4 linked regions of the Caenorhabditis elegans genome follow. The protein of the gene in region 2 purifies or fractionates together with the protein of the main gene of each other region. This does not show direct contact. Each region holds a gene or a part of one and is shown on either strand. Other genes may lie near its edges.

What was found.
Region 1: the proteins of K02F3.2 (region 2) and kat-1 fractionate together in Caenorhabditis elegans (co-fractionation; one large-scale study listed by BioGRID). This does not show direct contact.
Region 3: the proteins of K02F3.2 (region 2) and ndua-12 fractionate together in Caenorhabditis elegans (co-fractionation; one large-scale study listed by BioGRID). This does not show direct contact.
Region 4: the proteins of K02F3.2 (region 2) and ZC449.5 fractionate together in Caenorhabditis elegans (co-fractionation; one large-scale study listed by BioGRID). This does not show direct contact.

The regions. Positions count from the first base shown.
Region 1 is NC_003280.10:7,072,005-7,076,055, forward strand, and holds kat-1 (Acetyl-CoA acetyltransferase homolog, mitochondrial), read left to right. Parts: upstream 1-1,809; 5' UTR 1,810-1,810; coding exon 1,811-2,020; intron 2,021-2,122; coding exon 2,123-2,386; intron 2,387-2,482; coding exon 2,483-2,635; intron 2,636-2,685; coding exon 2,686-2,821; intron 2,822-2,870; coding exon 2,871-3,210; intron 3,211-3,284; coding exon 3,285-3,405; 3' UTR 3,406-3,507; downstream 3,508-4,051. Other genes in the region: kars-1 (Lysine--tRNA ligase), read right to left, coding at 1-169, 234-337; T02G5.7 (Acetyl-CoA C-acetyltransferase), read left to right, coding at 3,623-3,752, 3,802-4,051.
Region 2 is NC_003281.10:844,248-851,887, reverse strand, and holds K02F3.2 (putative calcium-binding mitochondrial carrier K02F3.2), read right to left. Parts: upstream 6,028-7,640; coding exon 5,886-6,027; intron 5,830-5,885; coding exon 5,433-5,829; intron 4,844-5,432; coding exon 4,618-4,843; intron 4,198-4,617; coding exon 4,174-4,197; intron 3,548-4,173; coding exon 3,386-3,547; intron 3,170-3,385; coding exon 2,999-3,169; intron 2,926-2,998; coding exon 2,472-2,925; intron 2,238-2,471; coding exon 1,974-2,237; intron 1,923-1,973; coding exon 1,612-1,922; 3' UTR 544-1,611; downstream 1-543. Other genes in the region: moma-1 (MICOS complex subunit MIC27), read left to right, coding at 55-343, 393-442. UniProt on the Caenorhabditis elegans protein: Mitochondrial and calcium-binding carrier that catalyzes the calcium-dependent exchange of cytoplasmic glutamate with mitochondrial aspartate across the mitochondrial inner membrane.
Region 3 is NC_003282.8:2,716,182-2,721,385, forward strand, and holds ndua-12 (putative NADH dehydrogenase [ubiquinone] 1 alpha subcomplex subunit 12), read right to left. Parts: upstream 3,654-5,204; coding exon 3,553-3,653; intron 2,477-3,552; coding exon 2,321-2,476; intron 1,929-2,320; coding exon 1,827-1,928; intron 686-1,826; coding exon 604-685; 3' UTR 506-603; downstream 1-505. Other genes in the region: Y94H6A.7 (Low molecular weight phosphotyrosine protein phosphatase), read right to left, coding at 348-390; ubxn-2 (UBX domain-containing protein 2), read right to left, coding at 4,384-4,528, 4,834-4,922. UniProt on the Caenorhabditis elegans protein: Accessory subunit of the mitochondrial membrane respiratory chain NADH dehydrogenase (Complex I), that is believed not to be involved in catalysis. Complex I functions in the transfer of electrons from NADH to the respiratory chain.
Region 4 is NC_003284.9:5,034,526-5,039,686, forward strand, and holds ZC449.5 (Proteoglycan 4), read right to left. Parts: upstream 3,249-5,161; 5' UTR 3,184-3,248; coding exon 3,136-3,183; intron 2,955-3,135; coding exon 2,916-2,954; intron 2,577-2,915; coding exon 2,505-2,576; intron 2,459-2,504; coding exon 2,394-2,458; intron 2,341-2,393; coding exon 1,329-2,340; intron 1,286-1,328; coding exon 1,182-1,285; intron 1,134-1,181; coding exon 992-1,133; 3' UTR 505-991; downstream 1-504.

The sequences.
Region 1 (4,051 bases), on a different chromosome or scaffold from region 2:
ACGGGCCTCAATCATCCTAACTCTCATGTTGAAATACTCTTGGGGGTCAGAAGGATCCGCCTCTCGCACAACTTTTGGAGCATCAGCGACGGCAACATTCAGCTTAGCAGCATCCTTCTCCAGACGTTCTTGTTCCTTCTTGGCTTGCTTGGCGAGCCTCTTCTGCTCACTGAAAGAAACATTATTGATCAATGGTGCTGGTTGTCACAAAATCTGAGGACACGTCGACTAACCGAGTGTTTTGGCTCAGAAAAACTGACGTCCCGAAAAATGAAGACGACCTACGTCGCAAGAATGAAACAGCCGATCGGCTCAACATCGAATGAGACACGATCATCATTTTTCTCACTTACTTCTTACTCAATTTGGCCTCTGGCTCGCTCATTGCCCTGTGACAGTGCTTGAAAGTGGCTGAAAAATAATAATCAATTAATTTAAGAAAAATTGCATGGAATTATGGAAATAAAGCAGAAAACGGAACAATTCAACTCATGTTTTTAGAAAATCCTAAAACTAAAGCGAAATATCTCAGTCTGAAGATTAGGGAAATTAAGACACACTTGACGCATTTTTATTGTTGTCTCAGATAAGTTTGTATCGGAATTATGGACAAAAAGCGAAAAATCTAAATGAAAATGAGCTGAAAACATCTCAAAATGCATTTTAAAATGCTCAATTCCTCCCAAATTTTGTAGCGTTCGGACATTGGCTTTAGAGCGCGTTTGTATTTAATGAGGAAACGGAAAACGGAGGAAAGAAATTTAGAGATTCGATGGTAGTTTTTGGAAGGCTATCTTTATTATTTAACTCAAAAAGTTATTCAAAGCTTTAAAATAATATTTTCAATATTTTAAGCAAAGTTTTTATTAACGCATTCAATGGATAAAACGCGCATGAATGAAGCAGCATTTCTACGGAATACATTTCTCCAGTGTCGGTAGTGTCTCCAATTTAGAACTTTCCAAAGTTCATTCAACCATAAGCTAGTAATTTAATTTTTGTTTTGTTTTATTTATAAAGCACAAAGCTTATCAGAGTTGCGTTTTCTTGTTTAATCTGATGGAAAGTGTTGCAATATTTGTTGTGAAATCATTTGTTTTAGTTAAAAAAATATCAGTAAGAAAACTGATTATTCGAAATGGAGCATTTTAAAATTGTTAGGCGAATATTGAATTGTTGATTAAAATATATATCAAACTTTTAAAAATCGCGTTTGATGTTCATAATTTTTAGGCTGTAAATCTAATTTATGATTATCTCCCCTATTGTAGCACTTTAGGTGTTAGAAAATGGCAGTTCAGAGACAGTTCAACGTTTTTGCATCGAAATGTTGTGTAATGATAGTTTATATTGTCATCATCATTTGATCTTAGATATATGAACATTGCTCTCACTCTCTTTCTTTACTGTCTCCAGTGTGATGTCACAGAAGAACAGTTGACTTTCAATTGCACGTGGGAACTCTTGAAAAGCAAGTGCAACTCCTGTATGAAAGAATCAAGGAGCTCCTAGGAGTATCGAAACCGCCAAAGTTCACAGCTACACGTAACTAATCTCAATTCTTTTATGAGAACGACAAAACCTTATTAGCACTACTTTTGACTAGAAAATCTATATCTCTCTTTCCTTCTTTTTTTTTACAGAAAGTGCAATTTCGCTCCACCGCCGTACTAGCTTTTCTATTTAACCATCATAATCTTTCCTTTCTTCTGTTCTGTCTCTCATTCATCTCGATCCGAACGAATTTCTTCATTCTCTTATCTTATTTTCAAAAACAAGTTGTGTCGAGTCAATTCTTTTTTTTTTCAGAATGTTGTCATCGTCTGGACACGCAATTCGCCGCGGAATCACCACATCTGCTGCACTATCAAACAAACATGCTTTCATCGTCGGAGCCGCCCGTACACCTATTGGATCATTTCGTTCTTCTCTCTCTTCGGTAACTGCTCCAGAGCTCGCCTCGGTTGCCATCAAAGCAGCATTGGAGCGTGGAGCAGTGAAGCCGAGTTCAATTCAGGAGGCGAGTGTGTTCTTTGTTTGCATTTTTCTATACTAGTAATATCTGAAATTCTATATCACTTCCAAAAACTACCGATTTAATCTTAAAATGCCTCAATTTCAGGTGTTCCTTGGTCAAGTCTGTCAAGCAAATGCTGGTCAAGCTCCCGCTCGTCAAGCAGCTCTTGGAGCCGGACTCGATCTTTCGGTTGCTGTTACCACCGTCAATAAAGTGTGCTCTTCTGGGCTGAAAGCAATCATTCTTGCTGCCCAGCAAATTCAAACCGGTCATCAAGATTTTGCCATTGGCGGAGGAATGGAGAGCATGTCACAAGTACCATTTTATGTTCAAAGAGGAGAGATCCCATATGGTGGATTTCAAGTGATTGTGAGTTTAATTTATTTTTCTAAAAAATATTAAATTGTCTAAAAATAGTCTTTAAACTTCTTTAAAAGAAATCAATGCTCACATTTTCTTATTCAGGATGGAATCGTCAAAGACGGACTGACCGATGCTTATGATAAAGTTCACATGGGAAACTGCGGAGAGAAGACTTCAAAAGAAATGGGAATTACACGTAAAGACCAAGACGAATATGCTATCAACAGCTACAAAAAGTCAGCTAAAGCATGGGAGGTTTGTCAACTGATTGCTCTTTGTGCGTTTTATGATTCCATGTTGTTTAGAATGGAAATATCGGACCAGAAGTGGTGCCAGTGAACGTCAAATCAAAGAAGGGAGTCACGATTGTTGATAAAGATGAAGAGTTCACAAAAGTCAATTTCGACAAGTTCACCTCGCTGAGAACTGTTTTCCAGAAAGGTTTGTACTATTCTTATCGTGAAAATTGAAATCAACATAATATATTAAGACGGAACTATCACTGCTGCTAATGCTTCAACATTGAACGACGGTGCAGCTGCTGTCATTGTTGCCTCACAGGAAGCAGTTTCCGAGCAAAGCTTAAAGCCTCTGGCCCGAATTTTGGCTTATGGAGATGCCGCCACGCACCCACTCGATTTCGCTGTAGCACCAACTTTGATGTTCCCAAAAATTCTTGAAAGAGCAGGAGTGAAGCAATCAGATGTTGCTCAATGGGAAGTTAATGAAGCCTTCTCATGTGTTCCCCTTGCTTTCATCAAAAAACTAGGAGTCGATCCATCCCTTGTGAACCCACATGGAGGAGCTGTTTCAATTGGTCACCCCATCGGGTATGTTGCCATATCAGTTGACCGTTCTTTCCGCATTCTTATCGTAAATTTGTTATCGATTATTTTTCTTTCAGAATGTCCGGAGCCCGCCTCATCACTCATCTTGTGCACACACTCAAAAGTGGCCAAATCGGAGTTGCTGCCATTTGCAATGGAGGTGGTGGCTCAAGTGGAATGGTTATCCAGAAATTATAGATTTATAATTTAACTTTTTTCGTTTAAAGTTTGTTACCTTTTTTCACGATTAGCTTGTATTTATGTATTTTTCGCTCATATCGAAACTCCGGTAAATAGATTCATTTATTATTTTGATTATCTACTTCTCTTTCATTGGTTTCAAACCAATTTCAGTTATCTTTTTTTATTCGTATGCGATTTTTCTAATAATCCAAAGTTCAGACAGTCTATCGCAATGTCGGATAAAAAAGTTTTCATTCTGAGTGGAGCTCGCACTCCCATCGGAGCTTACCGAGGATCTTTCGCTAACTTTGGCGCAGTTGAGCTCGGAACGGTCGCTGCAAAGGCAGCAATTGAACGATCAGGTTAAATTACTGATAATGAAATTTTGAAACAAATATTAAATATTTTTAGGAGTTGCTCCGGAGAAAATCGAAGAAGTAATTGGTGGATGCGTACTTCCGGCCGGTCTAGGACAAAATGTGACCCGACAGATCTCTTTGTCGGCTGGTCTTCCAGTAACAACGCAAGCTGTTACGGTGAACAAGGTTTGCTCTTCTTCGATGAAAGCCTTGGTGACAGCAGCTGTGGAAATCAAAGCAGGATATTATGACACTATTCTTGTTGTTGGAACTGAAAATATGAGTCAAGTTCCATTTTACGT
Region 2 (7,640 bases):
AAAATTAAACTAATTTTGTGAAAAATATATTTTTATCACCGATTTTTGTTTCAGGAACGCTTCAAAGTTGTCGATTGTGCGATGACTCAAACAAAAAAAGCGGCGACCAAATGCAATGCATATCTGACAGAAGAATGGACTGCTCTTCCAAAAGCCGCAGCAATCACCGTTGGTGGAATGGCCGGATTCGTTTTAGGCCTGAAACGTGGCCCGGTCGGACGTCTCCTCACCACTACCATCGGCTTGGCCACGATGGCCGCCTTTTGTTATCCGATAGAGGCTGTTGACGTGGCAAAGACCGGAAGAGCTCATGCTGAACAAACTTGGTATTCCTTCCAAGAATGTAGGCTTGAAATTTCTGAAAATCAGAGAGAAATAAATAAAATTTTCAGCTCCAACTCCATCTGCCATCGTCAAAACTAACTTGAGCCCACCGAAATAATTGGAAAATAATTGTTTGTGTGTAAAAAATATCCACTCGAATGTCTAGCGGTTTCTTTTTTTGTGTGTGCGCCGAACCCAGTGTTCCTGTAGTAGTGAAATAAAAATGCGATTTTTATGCAAAATTTGAAGAAAAAAAAACTGAGAAAAACAGAAAGGGAGGCACTTTTTGGACAAATTAAGAAAATAAATCTTATGTATATAATATATATATAGAACGGGCGAGGGTGGGGAAGGGAGAGAAAGTCACCCGCAAAAATTTAATCTAGGGGATGGTGAGAAGAGAGGCGCGGCACATTTTTTTGTTGATAAAATTGGAAAATTTATATTGGAACACAGAAATATTTTTACTTTTTTTTTAGGAACTTTTCACTTTCAATCAAAATCAAAATAATTTAAATTTCCAATAAAAACTTCGTCTAAACAACGAAAAAAGAAAAATTTTGTAAATTTTCCGAAAGTTTCAAAAAAGGTGCAGCACATCTCTGGTGAGAAGGCGAGAGGGCAGCGGGGGATCAGCATTATGGGTGGGCATTTTAATTTCAAGAAAATTTTGAATTTTCAGTGGGTGTAAATGTATGGCTATAAATGATTTTAATGTGGCTCGTACATATTTTGGCATATAATCACCCCGCCACTTTTTTTTCGATTTGTGTATTATTTCCCCTCATTTTAATATTATCCATTTTAATAAAACGTGATGTCCATTTTCCATCTTTAGGCTTAGAAATGGTTATTTCCTAAGCCTAAAAATACAAAAACTCCACACGTTTTTATTTGAAAAAGTGGCTGGGTGATTTAGGACTAGTACCTTAAAAAATATTGAATTTCAGAGGTTTTACACATAATTTTTTGAGCCAATTTTCAAGAAATTTCGTGATTTTAAATTCCAGAAAATCGGGCCATAAAATGATGCGTAAAACCTCTGAAATTCAATATTTTTCGAATGTCTATAATGAGAGCGCCGCCAAAATATGTATAAGCCACATTAAAATAATTTTTTAACGATACATTTTCAGATACTGAAAATTCAAAATTTCGTGAAATTAAAATACTCATCCCTGATCAGCATAGTACAGGTAAAATACAGAAGAAGTTCAAAAATAAGACTAGGATCGAACACTTTACCTAAAACAACACACACTGACTACGGGGAATATATAGGACTCTCTACTTGCTCGTTTCGAACTTTGGCAAGAACAATCCGAACTTGTGTTCGATTCCGGAGAATGTAGCTGCCGCCAGCTTGTATCCACCAACGTGATCCGGATTCGTTGACGACTCGTCTTGAATTGTCTTCGTCGTCGCAAGCTCGGAACCAGTCGGCCGGGATCCGGCGAAATCGACGTAGAAGAGGCGCTGGAGAACCTCGTAAGTGAGAAGAGTAACTGCGAATTGAGGACTTGAACGGCACACACGTGCAGCTGTACCCTTCCATAGTGACATTGGACCCTCTTCTTTGATCAGCTTCCGAGCGCAATCTGTAATTTTTTGTCAGAGTAAGTAACTAAGAAACTAGGCAAAAACTGTACCAATGACTCCATTATACGTCGTCTGTCCAGCTCGTGCAGCTACTTGAAGCCTAGTCTTGATAACATCGGCAGGTGTTACTAAACCAGCGGCAGGCACTCCAGCAATAAACGCGGAAGCAAAAAGTGTTCCCGGTGAGTTCATTCCATCTTCATCAGCAGATGCGAGTTTTGCGTGAGCGTATGCCGGGAAATAGATTGCTGAGAACGGAATATCCCGAAGGAAGCACGCACGGGATCCTTTGTAGAGTCCAAGGAAACCGAGTTCTGAATTAAAAGTTTGAGTATTATGCGATTTCTTGTGTGTCTTTATTGCCAGAAGAAAAGGCACCACGTTTTAAAAATCTAGTCGAAAACGAGATCTTCGAAAAGAAGATCTAGGATTTGGCACCGCCAGATCCCGAAAACGTAGATTTTGTTTTGGTAGATCTTCTTTTCGTAGATTTTGTTTGCAACTAGATCTCGAAAACGTGGTGCGTCAGAGAATGCACCATGCTGCACCTTTAAGAACCGTGAATACTCCGATCTTCTTTCCCGCTTGTTGTACTTCTCCGGCAGTTTGTAATCGAATTTTAACAATTTCCAGGGGATTTGTGAACACAACTTGGCACATTCCTCCGGTTCCTCCGGCGATAATTTCTCCATAAAGTGGAATTTTTCCGTCTTTAGTGAATTTATCTCTCATATAATCGTTCATTGTCAATTTGATAGCTTTTTCTGGTGCAACACCAACAATTTGAGGCAAAAGTCCACGATAAAGACCCAAGAGTCCTTCGAACTTCACGACTTTCTTGAAGCAATCCAGAGAGTTTTTATACATTACTTCTCCGACGAATGAGCCAGATGTACGTTGATTTTGCATTCGTGTCTTCACAAGATCAATCGGATACACTGCAGTCGCTCCACATGCTCCGGCTACTGATCCTAATAAGAAACGGTACGCGGATTCGAGGAACTGCAATATGAAATTTTTAGGAATTTAAATATAGGTAGTTGTAAACAAATTTCCGGCGCCAAAAAATTCTTACCGCAGTTCCAACACCTCTGTCATCTTTATGGTGCACAGCTTTGATGTTGATAAGTCGATCCATTTGTGAAACACGCTTCAGACGTTCAGGATCAATTGCCTGAATGTCCTTTAGACAGAGCGTCTTCCGTCCTGGATGATTCAACTCTGACAAGTGGAACAGGATTTCGACCTGGAAAAAATTGAAAAATCATTTTAAAAAATTACTTTAAAAATAACTTTATTTTTATTATATTTTTTGATTGTTTCAGAAAATCTAAAAATTTTAGATTTTCCGATCTTTCCTGAAAAACATCGAAAATATAAAAATGACATCCTTGCTTATAAAGATGATTCCGTATTTCAATCAATTTTTGGTTTTTTGGGAATATCTGAATTTCCTGCTTACTTCATAAGGAGTAACTTGTGTATAACTTTGAATTGCATGCAGAAACTCTTCTTTCGTCATCTCAATGTCCAAATTTCCACGTGTCGTCGATACGTAGACACGCTTGATAAGTTCCATTTTGGCGAGAAGACTGTTGAAAGCAGCATAGTAAGGGAAGGTCACCTGGAAATTGAAACGTTTTTATTGAATCGAGATTCTGGAGAGGTATTGGCTTCTTGAGGAAGACATGGTGCAGGACAGAACGAAGAAACATACATTGAACATAGGAAACTTAAGAAATCATGCAAAAATCAGCCCGAATATCATAGAATCTCGTGTGTTTTCTTGCTCGCAAAAACTTCAGCCAACAAGTTACCGAACGGGTGTATATCGACTGAAAACCTTTCGAAGATCGAATCGACCAACACATGCGAAATTCTTAAGTAGTTTAAAAAATCATTTTCCGACCACTAGAACAAGTTGAAAAGTTTTGAGATTATAGCTAAAGTGAGTTTAGCTTTTTTCTTTGAAATTTTGAAAAAAGAATGAAAGCAAAAAAAATATTTTTTAACTCTTTTTATTTAAATAATTTTGTCTCGACCACATTTCTAAAAATCCGAATATAAAAAATTGTTCGAAATTGTTTGTACTTTGTTGCATTTCTATTTATGGTTTCTAAGCGGTTTAATTATTACTTACACAATATCGACTAAGAATTTTTATAGCATGCTGATTTTTCGTTTGGCCTACCTACAAATCACGAAACCAAAACAAAGGACACCCAAAAAATGACAGAAAAGAAAACTTACAAATCCACCTCGAGTGTCGGAAAACTGAAAAAGAAGGAAACCACTTCCAAAAAAAATTAGAAAACTTGGGAATCTACGAATGAACATGCTATATCACTCCACTATACAACATTTGGAAAACTCACTTCCAATACTAAGGAATTCTATTTCAAAAAAAAAAGAAAATCAGAATTAGTAAAATAATAATTAAAAACCAGAGCAAAAATCAGAGAAACAATGAGGATTTTACTTTAAAATTATGGGAAACACTCGGAAATCTAGAATATCTTATTTATTGATATTTTTCGAATTTTTCGAAAATCAGTTTCCAGTCATTTTTGAAAAGACCGACGTTTTCATTTATGACAAAATTCAATTTCCATTTTTGAATATACTTCAGAATTTCCAACTTTTTCCGAAAATTTTCAAGCAAAATTAATTTAAATTCAGATGTTTTTTTCTCACCTTGTGTCCACTGGCGCCGCCGCCAGACACCGCAATGAGGTTATGCCGAACGAAATCCGTGAGCAAGTGTCCTTTGACAGTAGTCATTATTTGTTGGAAATCCAGTGATGAGATGGTTCCATTTCCATTTTTATCGTATCTTTTGAATGCCTGGATACCCTGTTCTTCGTAGAAATCATGAAGAAGTTGACAGAATGAATGATAATTCACGTTTCGTTGTTTGTCACTGAAATAATTAAAATTTTTATATGTGGAAATATGGAGCAGTTTTCGAGTTAAAAAAATATATTTACCAACCGGGAAAAGTTTAAAGGTGGAGTACCGAATTCTGAGAAATATTTTTAAATAACTCCAAATTTTCTCCCGACTCCGAATGTCAAAGTGAAAAAATTCAAAAAATTTCCCTTATTTTATATTTTTGCTTGAAATCGCGAATTTCATTTTTGCACCCATGGTATTTTTCAAACGCCGAATTTACGCGCCAGAGAGGTTTTTTTTTTGAATTTTTTCACTTAGATATTCGGATCAGGGGAAGATTTGCCATTTAATAGTCATGTAATAATTTTTCTCAGCTTTCAGTACACCACCATTTGAAGAGAAAATCAAAAATGTTCAGTTCTTCGTTCAAAAAAAGGAAAAAAATTTTGAAAAATTTTGAAAATGTTCTTTCAAAAAAATTAAGAACCCAAAAAACTTTTTTTAAAATTAAAATTTTGATTTTATCGATTTTTATAGTGAATTATATTTTTTTCGCTGCAATTTAAAATTTGAAAATCTGAATAAATATTTTTCAGTGAGATTTCTCAAAAACTTACGCTCCAAAATATCTCTTGATGAATTCCGAACTAAAATCAAAGTCCTGATCATGCAAAGGCTGAGTATGCCGAATCACAGCTTCAAACTCATCACAGCTAATGGTATCCGAAGCGTTTCGATCGAAAAGTTCGAAAGCGGTGAGATAAAGAGCATCCGGGCTGCACAAGAGAGCTTCAAAAGCGCAGAACTCTTCGAATGAGATGTCTCCATCTTTTGTAGTGTCTGCGGCGGAAGCAAGAAGACGAACAGTCTCCTTATTATAGTTTTCTTCCGTGTAAAGACCTAAGTATCCTCGAATGAAATCCTCTGGGGTCATCAACTTCTTCCCTTTTATTTCTTTAGTCGCGAATCGATCGAAAATCGGACGAAGATGGTCTGGATTCGCTCGTGGAATGGCTGAAAAAAATAAATAACTTAAATATAATTTATTAATTGTAAAATTAAATATTTACATCTTTGACTAATTGCAGTTTCTGCATTGCATTCTGCTTTACGGAACAGTCCCGTGGAGAACACATCGCTTCCGTGTCCGATTCCCAAGTTTTGTAGGAGTTCTCGTCGTTTTGATGACGTCAACAGATGATCGAAAGACATTCACGAGGGCCTGAAAACTAAAAAAATGATTTCAAGGAAATCAAGGAAATCAACGAGAATTTCGCATGTAAATTAATATAAAATAAAAGAGACAAATATGGCTAGCTGCAAACGCGCTCTATTGACAATAATTTTTAGCGCGAAGCTTAAATTTAGATATTGAACTATTTTGCCTAAATCAGATGATAACCAGGGAAACAACATGCGATAAGATGAAAAATGTGATAAAATCGTGTGCTGAGCGTTCTCTAGTACAATAATGTTGACAGACACAGAGAATGAAAACGTGCGTGAAACAAAATTTGATCCCCATGATCTCAATGTTACTCAGACAAATGATATCAGAGATACTTCGCTTCCTTGAAATTTTGAAAACCGGCAATTGCCGAAATTGCCGATTGCCGAAAATTCCCAAGATCGGTAGTTGCCGAAATTGCCGATTGCCGAAAATTTTGACAACCGGCAAATGTCGAAATTGCCGATTGCTGGAAATTTTCGATTGCCGCACACCCCTGGTCCAAACTTAAATTGCCAAAAATATCTAGAAACACAAAATACGAGTAATCAAGAACTGGGGAGGGAAGAACGTAGTGTAGTCTGGTGTAAATGACTACACCTTGATAAAAAAAGGTGTACAAGGAGTTTAGTTGGACGGAAGGGTATAATTTCACCCAAATTTAGATTTCTCACCCGACCAGGGATGTAGATGTAAACTCTAAGGAGGCCAAACTGTCAGGGAAAACGAGATAGGATCTTTGACTTGTTATATTACACACACACACATACACTGTGGAAAAATAGTGCACATGCTGAGGTGCCATCGAGATCCTTAGTTGGACAAAAATTCCTTGAATTTTCTGTTATTTTCCATCAACAACTTGAGTACTATCTGAAACCTTAAGGGCCCCACTACTCAAGAAGTTGCAAAAATTCCAACAAAGCAAAATCCCTAATTGCAAGAAAATAATAATACTACACCAAAACTAGGCCACAAAGTAACATAAGTAAACCGAATAGTCTGTTATCTCATTCTGTCTCTACCTTTCTCCCTCTCCTACCTCCACCCAATATTTACCAACTGGAATGTAAGAAAAAAATGAAGAAAGGGAATAGAAAACATAAAGGCTCCCGTCAACTGCTGCTATGCTCTGATGCTCCCTGCGTGAGAAAAGATATTTCTCTCGTTTTCACTCTTCTCAAGCTCATCTTTTTTTTGGGGAGGGAGAGGCGGCGGTGGACATCTATTTCCGAAGTACATAGGAGGAAAGCCAAGAATTGGGAGGAGATATAGAGGACAAAGAGGAAAAAAATCAACGTGGAATACACGACAACAGGAAAAGTTGATTCACAGGTTTTTTTTGCCAAGACAAGGAACTTGGCGACCTCCCAGACTTGAGGTTTATCACGTAGATAAATTTGAAAGTACTCTAGGCCAAAGTTTTTGTAATTTTGATGAGCTAATTAAAAACTTGAGAGATTCTGGATTTGAATGGATTTGCTATAAAGCCGAACCTTCGTAAAAAGGAAACACTCACTTAAAGGCCAGGCAGTTTTGCGATGACATGCCCCCCGGACTGCCCACACTCTGTGTCGTCTGCGTAATCTATGTTGGT
Region 3 (5,204 bases), on a different chromosome or scaffold from region 2:
CCATCAAGTGAAAAGTTAGTCCAGCCCATCTGAAAATAGCTAGTCACAATTCAAAATGGCAAGAAGACGCTTGTGGACTAACATCTCAGTTGGTGGCCTAGAAATTCAAAAGTTCGGCCATCGACTTTTAAAATTTTATTTTCTTCCAATTTTTCACAAAAATGTGCTGAATTACTAATTATTCGATGGGAAACCCGAAAAAAAATCGGTGGCCTAAATTTTTTAAAAAGTCGGCCACCAATTTTTTTCGCGCAAATTTGACCGTTTTTTCGTCAATTTTCCAAATAAAAAATTGCTGGCCTAGAAACCCAAACCTCGGCCACCTATTTTTCACCTAAAAACCGTACCTAAACACACCATCAGGACGCTTTTCTGCTCTCCGACGCTCATTTTCTGGGAAAAAATCAGATTTTTTTTCTGAAAAAAACGTGAAAAATCAATAAAAATATCACAAAAAGGTCGTAAAATCCTTCAAAAAATCAATAAAAATTGGCAAAAAAATCGATAAAAATCTACAAAATTCATATGATTTTAAACACAAAAAAACGGAGAAAAATCTACTTTTTCGAAAAAAAAAATTTCAGGGGCTCTAATTATAGATTTTCAGTCGAATTGTGGCTTCTCTCCTGGTTGCCATCCTTGAATTTTGGTACGAGTTGTCGAGTATGGAACGTACTTTTTGTCGCTGAAAAATTGGGAATTTAGGGGTTTTCTAGGCCATGTGAGTGGAAAACTAGTCCCCGGGATGTTTTTTGTGAAAAATTGACTTTAAAAAACAAGAAAAATGGCCGAAAACCGTTAGAAAAAGATGGTGGCCTAGAAAACCAAAAAGTTCGGCCACCAATTTCTTGAGTCCCCGAGCTGTTTTTTGCGGAAAAATTGACCAAAAAAATGTGAAACTCGAGCTAAAACAGCTGGAAACCGTTAAAAATTGAAAAAAAAAATTGGTGGCCTAGAAAACTCAAAAAGTTCGGCCACCAATTTCTTGAGTCCCCGAGCTGTTTTTTGCGGAAAAATTGACCAAAAAAATATGAAACTCGAGCTAAAACAGCTGGAAATCGTTTAAAAATTGAAAAAAATTGTTGACCTAGAAAACCAAAAAGTTCGGCCACCAACTTTTTTTTCGAAACTTGACGACTTCTAGGCCATGTGAGTGAAAAACTAGTCCCCGGGATGTTTTTTGTGAAAAATTGATTTTAAAAAACAAGAAAAATGGCCGAAAACCGTTAGAAAAAGATGGCGGCCTAGAAAACCAAAAAGTTCGGTCACCATTTTTTTGTTTGAAAATTTTACGATTTCTAGGCCATGTGAGTGGAAAATTAGTCCCCGGGATGTTTTTTGTGAAAAATTGACTTTAAAAAACAAGAAAAATGGCCGAAAACCGTTAGAAAAATTGGTGGCCTAGGAAACCAAAAAGCTCGACCACCAACTTTTTTTTTAAAATTTTACGATTTCTAGGCCATCCAGGTGGAAAACTAGTCTCCGGGATATTTTTTGTTCAAGAATCTGCGAAAATTGACCAAAAATAGGCGAAAAACGTCCGAAAAAATGATGGCCTAGAAAATGAAAAGTTCGGCCACCAACTTTTTTTTTTTCAAAATTTGACGACTTTCAGGCCATCCAGGTGGAAAACTAGTCCCCGTGATGTCTTTTCTTAAAAATTTACGGCAATTAAGAAAAAAAAATTGGTGGCCTAGAAATCCAAAAAGTTCGGCCACCAACTTTGTTTTTCTCAATTTTCATGATTTTTAGGCCATTTTTCACCGTTTTTCTTGATTTTTTCATTGAAATTCGTCTAAAAATCCAATTTTCCGTCGAAAACCTACGCGTAGATACTGGTGTTCTCCTTATGTTCGAGTACCCAATCCTGAGTTGGTGGTGGCTTCACCGATGGAGCATCATCGGTGATGTGGTGGAGCCAAGAGTGCCTGGAAAATTAAAGAAAATGATGAAAAAATGAACAATTTTGCGCATTTTTACACGAAAATTAGGCTTGAAAATCGGTGACCGAACTTTCGGATTTCTAGGCCACCAGGTGAAAAGTTAGTCCACCATGTTTTCCGGACATTTTGAGTGATTTGGGCCAAATTTGAGTGGTGGAACTAACTTTTCACCTGGTGGCCTAGAAACCCAAAAGTTCGGCCACCGATTTTTTTTTCGATTTTCATGATTTTTATGTCATCTATTTTTATTTGTATTTGTCTAGGCCATTCTAGGCCATTTTCTAGGCCATTTCTAGGCCATTTTAGGCCGATCTAGGCCATTTTTCGTGTAAAAAACAGCAAAATTGTTCATTTTTCGTCGTCATTTTTTTGCGTACCATTCCGGTGGCACTTGAGTCGCATCATAGTCGAGCCAAACTTTGTCGGGAAACTCGACCCAACGGTTGCGTGGCACGAAATACGCGTTATTCTCGTAGTAACGATTGCCGAAATTGTCCGAACCGACGAGTGTTCCGACGCGGGTCGCGTCCATTCTGAAAATTTGAGAAGATTTTTATGTAAATTGAGCGAAAATGGTGTAAAATTGGCCTAAAAATCATCATTAAAAAACAAAAGAAATCGGTGGCCGAACTTTTCGATTTTCTAGGCCACCATGTGAAAAGTTAGTCCCCATCGATTTTCGCTCGTTTTCAGGTGATTTTAAGCGATTATAAGCCCGCGCGGACTAACTTTTCACTCGCTGGTCTAGAAAATCGAAAAGTTCGGCCACCGATTTTTTTTTCGGTTTTTTATGTTTCTCCGGTCATTTTTCCGACGCGAGTCATTCGAAAAATTCAATTTTTCAACCGAAATTTTGATGAAATTAAGCGAAAATAGTGTAAAATTGGCATAAAACTCATTAAAAAAAAAACGGTGGCCGAACTTTTCGATTTTCTAGGCCATCAGGTGAACAGTTAGTCCCCCACACAAAATTGACCTGACGTATCGCGCAGGATGTCCAAATGAAATTGGGGGACTAATTTATCACTTGGTGGCCTAGAAATCCAAAAAAGTTCAGCCTCCGATTTCTGACAGATTTCATGACAAATTTCGTACATTTTTTGAATTTTTTAATACTGAAAAATTCAAAAAAAAAATTCGTGGCCGAACTTTTCGATTTTCTAGGCCACCAGCTGAAAAGTTAGTCCCCGCTGATTTTCGCTCGTTTTCAGGTGATTTCAAGCGATTATCAACCCGCGGACTAACTTTTCACATGACGGCCTAGAAAATCGAAAAGTTAGGCCATCAATTTTTTGATGTATTTTTAAAAAATAAAATTCGATTGTTGTAAATCGAAAAAAAAAATTAAAAATTTGTCAGAAATCGGTGGCCGAACTTTTGGATTTCTAGGCCACCAAGTGAAAAATTAGTCCCCCAATTTTGTTTTGACATTCTGCGTGATAGGTCAGGTCAGTTTTGTGTGGGGGACTAACTTTTCACCTGATGGCCTAGAAAATCGAAAAGTTCGGCCACCGATTTTTTTTTCGATTTTTATGATTTTCAGGTAATTTTCGACCGTTTTTCTTCTAATTTAGTGCATTTTCAGCCATTTTTCCACCTGAAAACTTACAAATAACGCTTCTTAAGCACCGCTTTGACACCTCCAATCTCCTTGACCATTTGGCCAAACTTTTGGATTTTATCGATTCCCAGCCACGCTTTCAGGGACATCTGTAATGTAAATTTGGTTGGAAAAATGGGAAATTTTAACGGAATGTGGGGAGGAAAAACCAAGCATTTTGTGAATTTTTTCAAAAAAAAATTTTTTATAAATTTTTTGGCGAAAAACTCCATATTTCCTGTGAAATATGATATTTTTCGAGTTTTTCACTGAAAAATCTTGAATTTTTTGAAAAAAATCAGGGAAAAATCGATTTTTCAGTGGAAAATTGGAACAAAAAAAGTGAATTTTTACATTTTTTGAAAACTTTAAATTTTTCACCAAAAAATCGCAGAAGAAGGATTTTTCTCTCTGAAAAATTGGGAAAAAATCTGAAAAATTCAAAATTTGACTTTAAAATTGAATTTTTAATGGAAAATTTGTAAAAAATGTGCATTTTTCACTAAAAATTGAAAAATTCTGAAAATCTGGAAAAAATAAAAAAAATATTTCAGAGCTTGAAAAACTCGCAAATTCCAAAACAAAAAATCAATAAAAATCGCCGCAATTTTTCACAGAAAACGGTGTACTTTTTTTATGCATTAAAGTGTGATAGAAGAAAGAAAAAAAACGATATTGGGAAATGGGGGGAAAAAATCAAATAATTTAGCGTAAAATACAGGTATTTTCAGGGAATTTGAGAGGTTTTGGGGGGTAAAAACGAGTAGAAATTCGAAATTTTTTCAGATGAAATTTTCAATTTTCAATTTTCCCGCCAAAAAAGCAGCGTCAGGAATCTCCTCAGTTGGTGGTGGGCAAGATTTTCACGGCGACGACCGAATTGAGCACATTTGCATCCTTCAGAGTCTGTGATTCGTCTTCAAATGGTTTTGGAGGGTAGGCAGCCATCATTTGGAATGGAGCGTAGATCATATCTGGGCGGGCGCTGGAAAATCAAAATTTTTAAATTAAAAAAATTTGAGTTTTTTGAAAGAAAAAACTAGAAAAATGTAATTTTTTAATTTGAAAAATGTAATTTTTTAATTTGAAAAATGTAATTTTTCTATCACTGTGTATATCAGAAAAATATTATTAAAAAATAATTATTCATTGGAAAATTTCGAATTTTTCAGGCTAAAAATGTGATTTTTAGATGATTTTTTTATTTTTTTAATTCGAAATTTTCTAAAAATCTACTTTTTCTAGTGAAAAATGAGAGTTTTTAATAGCTTTTTCCGGCTGAAAACTCACGTGCAAATGAATGTACGAACTGCTTCAAGTGTGTGAGAATGATTAAAAATACCGACGAGACGCTGATTGTTTGGCAGACGGATTTGGATCTGAAAATTTTGTTAAAATTAATCAAAATATCAGGAAAGAAGCCACAATTCGACTGAAAATCTATAATTAGAGCCTGAAATTTTTTTTTTTCGAAAAAGTAGATTTTTCTCCGTTTTTTTTGTGTTTAAAATCATATGAATTTTGTAGATTTTTATCGATTTTTTTTTGCCAATTTTTATTGATTTTTTGAAGGATTTTACGACCTTTTTGTGATATTTTTATTGATTTTTCACGTTTTTTTCAGGAAAAAAATCTGATTTTTTCCCAGAAAATGAGCGTCG
Region 4 (5,161 bases), on a different chromosome or scaffold from region 2:
TACGTCTCCTTAATTCAGGAAAGTTTTCGCAATGTAGCAATATTTCAAAGTTGGCAATCGCTGAAAACGCAAAGTATCGTCAGTGAGGAAAATAGTTTGAAACCGCTCCTAGGAATCAAAACCTTTTTTTAATTTTTTTAAAATTTAAATCCAAAAAATAGTAAAAACTCAGTTTTCTTCTATCACGATTTGCCACAATTTGTAATTTTTTAAATAAATTTCCACAATTTTTTAATGCCCTACAAGTGGAATTTTGGAGAATTTGCCAATTTACCAAAATGTTGACTTACAAAAATTCAACATTTGTGGCAGTATTGATTTATGCTGTTCGGTTCAGTTGGTAAATAATTGACGTGAATCCTAAATTATTTTCAAAGTAGGTTGAGCAAGTTTGACATAGCTGAATCTGCGGAATTCCGGATATCTTCATTTTCGAAAATTTTATTTTTTATTTGTTTGTCCTCATCGAAGAATTTATGAAAGAGAAAGGATCTAGTGATCTTTGTTGAAGATTTAATTTATTGAAAATCAGAAAAAGACCAAATATAGTACAGCATCAGATTAATTATTATCATCATGGTACGAAAAAAATCTCGAATTTATGAATCATGGAGAGAAACTAAAAACGTGTAAGAACGACACAAAAAAAGATTCCCGCGAAGTCACAACTGCAATTCGTCGGAAAATTGTATACCTATAAGAGACAAAGCGAAGGAGGAGTGGAAAATGACAGTGAAGAGTGTGGGTGAACAGTTTTACAAGTAAAAAAGGAGGAGGAGAAGAAGATGGATGAAAATGAATAATAACTGCAATTATTAGAATAAAGAGTTTAACTGAAAATTATAATCCAAAATTTAAACTTTAAAATTTAAAATTCAAAATTCATAAAAAGACAAAAACTGAAAATGTGATGGGAGTGAGAAAACGAGACCATAATTGAAAAAGAAAAGATGAATACGATGTAATGTTGTTATTCGGCGGTCTTAGAAATCTACTCGTCATCCTCATCTTTTCTTCCCCCTGCAGCTGGAGCACTGTCGACTTCGGCGGACTCCTTCTGATCCTCAAGAAGAGGAGCAATCGTGGTCAGCTCTTTCTCATCAACCGTCGACAAGTTTTCTCTTTCCTCCTTCCTGTAATTAAAATTTGTTTTAGATATGTTAATCGGTAAATTTAATTACTTTTTGTTAAACATGTAAACTCCGGCTCCAACCAATCCAGAGAAAACGAAACCAGCAATGACCAACGGGATGAAATTGAATCCACTCTCAGACTTCTTCATTTTCTGGAAATAACTTCTTTTTTTCATATTTTTTATCATTACAAACCTTGCTCTTCACAGCCATAGTAGTAGTTCTGGAGAGCTCGGCTGGTGCCTCGGTAGCTTGTTTCTCAGAGAAGAATGCTTCATCAGCTCCTGCTCCTTCATCATCATCATCCTCATCAGAGTCTGGTGGTCCGGAGAACAATGTCTTCTTAGTGCCCTCGACAGTCTTCTCAGATGAAGCTTCCGATGAAGAATCAGATTCTGAAGTCGATTTTTCGTCGGTCTTTGAATCGGACGAAGACGAGGATTTGCTCTTCTTATCATCGTCATCTTCTTCGCTGTCTTCCTTCTTTTGTTTCTTGTCCTTTTTGTCTTTTTTGTCCTTCTTGTCCTCCTTCTTCGGCTTCTCTGTAGATTGTTCTGTGGATTCTTCAGACGTTGGTGTGGATTCCGATGACTGTGGCTCCTCGCTAGTCTCTGGTGATTCCGATGATTCTTCCGTTGATGGTTCTGGGGTTGTGGTAACCTTTTCCTCCTTAGTCTTTTTGTGAGACTTCTTAGAGTCCTTCTTTGTTGATGCTTCAGTCGTGGTGGTAGTGGTCTTTGAAGACTTGTGGGTCTTTGCAGGCTTTGTGGTGGTCTCTTCTTCCTCACTTTCCTCGGTGGTCTCAGATGTTTCCGAACTAGTGGTAGTAGCCTCCTCCGATGCTTCAGTAGACTTCTCTTCTTCGGTAGATGCTTCCGTAGACTTCACTGTTTGCTCCTCTTCAACCGAGACTTCTGTAGAAGATGTAGTAGTGACCTCCTCGGCAGATACATTTCCAGACTCTTCTTCCGTCGTCTTATTTTCTTCAGACGATGGGGTTTCAGTCTCGGCACTTTCAGCAGGAGCGGCTGTTGTGGTCGTTTTGACAGCCTTTTTCGATTCAGTCTTTTTCTTCTCGGATTTCTTGGTGCTAGCTGGTTCCTCTGTGGTTTTTGGAGCATCGGTAGTTTTTGTGGACTTTTTCTTGTGAGATTTCACTGTTGTGGTTTCCTCTTCAGAATCGTCATCATCTGTAGCTGGGGTTGTGCTGAAAATAGAGATGTTGTTTTTGATTTTGCAAAATCTGAAGTATATGTATACCTTTTTAAATGCCTGCGTGCACGAGTGAGAAGACAGTTCTTATTTTCCAAGCAGCAACATCCGCCCTGAAAATCAAAATTGAAAACTGATGCTAGATAACCGGGAACTTACAAGAACAGTATCCGAACACTGTGGCATTCCGGAACATTCTGCTTTTGTCAGGCATTTCTCGATCAATCCAATCTGAAAATGTATTTCAACCTCTGTCCCTAAACTGGGTATATATTTTCCAGATCCGTTGTACTTATTCACTTAATTTCATAGTTTGGCTTGATGAGGTCAAGTTCAGTGAACCGAGAAATTGACTGGTACTTGTTCAATAAAATGGTGTGTATACATGCCTTTTCGGATAATAATTACATAGCGATTCGTTCACTACACCAAAAACATTTATAGTACTACACAATTATCTAATCTGTGAGCGGAAGTGAGTGGGCAGTACACAAAGTACAATAGAAAGGAGCAATTGCCGCTGTTGTGGTAACTACGAATTTATTCATTATGGACCTTTGAAAGACTTACCTCAGTCACTCGTCTTAGCCCACTTTGGCAATGGAATTTCTGAAAGTTGAAATTTTGTTTAGAGTATTTAGACCTTTTGAGTTTTGCATTTTCAATTTGCCTAGTTGATACAACTGATAAGGGAATTATTGTATCGGAACGTGTAATTATGTTAGAGATGGTTCTCTGATCACAAAACATCAAATATTTCTGCTGTAAAAAGAAAAAAACGTAAACTTACAGTGTACGCGACTTTCGCAAGAATCAACAGGATAATAAACAATTTCATGATTTCGATCGCTTTTCTATAATCGGCGTTCGACAGAAGAAGTTGGAAATTACCTAACCAAGGAGCTGAAAGAATTTAGAAATTAATTTTTAATTTGAAAACTCACTGATAAAAAATGAAACGAAAGTGCTTGAGAATTAATGTATTCTACATATTATGACGTAAAGCATTATTTGCAGAAACGATTTAAACATGAAAACTGTTCAGAACACACTGAAAGGAGACCGTAAAACTACGTTTTATGTTGAGAAATGACGAAAACAGTGGGAGGGTGACAATGATCCCGGGGGCCGTTGACAAAAACAACTTGCACCCGCTGTCTAGTGTTGAGCTGATAAATCTGGGTGGGCGGCGAACAGAGGTTACTTTTTAGCAATGATAGAACAAAATTGCGAAATAATGAACTTGATGGACAAGATCAAAAATCTTTCAAAAAAAAGTGTTGAAAGAAATTTCTCATACTTTTATTATCTCAACCGAATTGTTTCTATTAGTGTTGCTCAACTTTAGATGCTCATATTTGAATTATCAACTAAAACAATATTTTTCAATCATTTTTATATAGTTTTGTGATTAGCTATTAATTGACCAGCGACAGCCGAATCAGCTGAAATTTTTTCAACAAACTAGTGTCCCTACAGAGTACTTTCGCTGTATTTTATCGTACTACTACAGTACATCTATCATGCAGAACTACAGTAATTCTACAGTACACTACAGTATCAGTACTACACAGTACTACACACTACCGCACCCCGATCCTCACCCTAATAATTCACTAATCACAACGTCAACTAATTTCTTTCAAAAACTACATAGTCTACAAACTATGAACACACGGAATGAGCGCTATATATAAATACATTTAGTAATTGATATTTTTGAAATCAAATTTCAAGTTGAAAGAATGGGTGTAATACTAATAGAGGAAATAATGCATTTACCAAATGTAGAAGGAAGATTTAAATTCAATTATTAGCTGCCAATTTCATTAACTGATCAGCTTATTTTATGAAAATGTGAACTTCATTTGGATTCGATGATTGAAAAAAAAATCCACTTTGTAGCTTGATTTGCAAAAAATTCAAAATACAGAGAGCGTGAACGCAGCAATTATTCGCATCAAAGTGACTGGGAGATTTGACGCATTGCACACTGTGCGACATCGTAAAACCAAACCACCACACCCGAGAATGTAGCACATCTGGCGACCTGGGCTTTGGAGATTCCGGCGGATATTCAAAACTTGTTGCCAGCCTGGAGTCAGTTGGCCTGAATGCGCATAAACAATGCGACACGGCGAGCTGAAGGCAGAAGACAAAGTACCGACAAGTTACCAGTGATTGACACTATCTGACAATCGGACCTCTTTTCTGGGATTGAAATTAGAGAAATGATGATAGGAAATGACACCGACACGCGGAGACGAACACATTACAACTTTTGTTGTGAATGGTCACTGACAAAACAATGGACAATGCAATGCAAGCGAGGGGGGAGCACTGGTGATTGGCTGAAAATTGGCTGAAATTGCGTTTAGACAGACGTTCGTAAGAACTGTATTGGGATGATGATGATGCAAGAAATTCAGTGTAGTTCAAGTTGACAAACACCACAATCTTACGTTGGCTCTCGTTGAACCAATCGGGAAGCTGCGTGCTCGTGGAGTAGTTGTAGGAGGACAAAAACTAACAGGAAACCGAGAGGGGAAATTAGGTTTTTCACATTTTCACGTGACTTTATACTCAATTAATTAATGAAGCTTTAAAGGATCGTTGACACCACCACTTGAGAGTAACAAGACAGGATAGAGATCAAGAGCTACCAGTAGGGAGAAGGTCAAGAGTATCAGGTATTAAACAAATGGGTACATGACTTTTCAGTTATCGTAGAAAGTGGGAAGAAAAAGAGACGTGTTGGGACCCTATCAAATTACATTCAACAATGTCGTGGGAGTTTTTTAAAACAATTAATATAG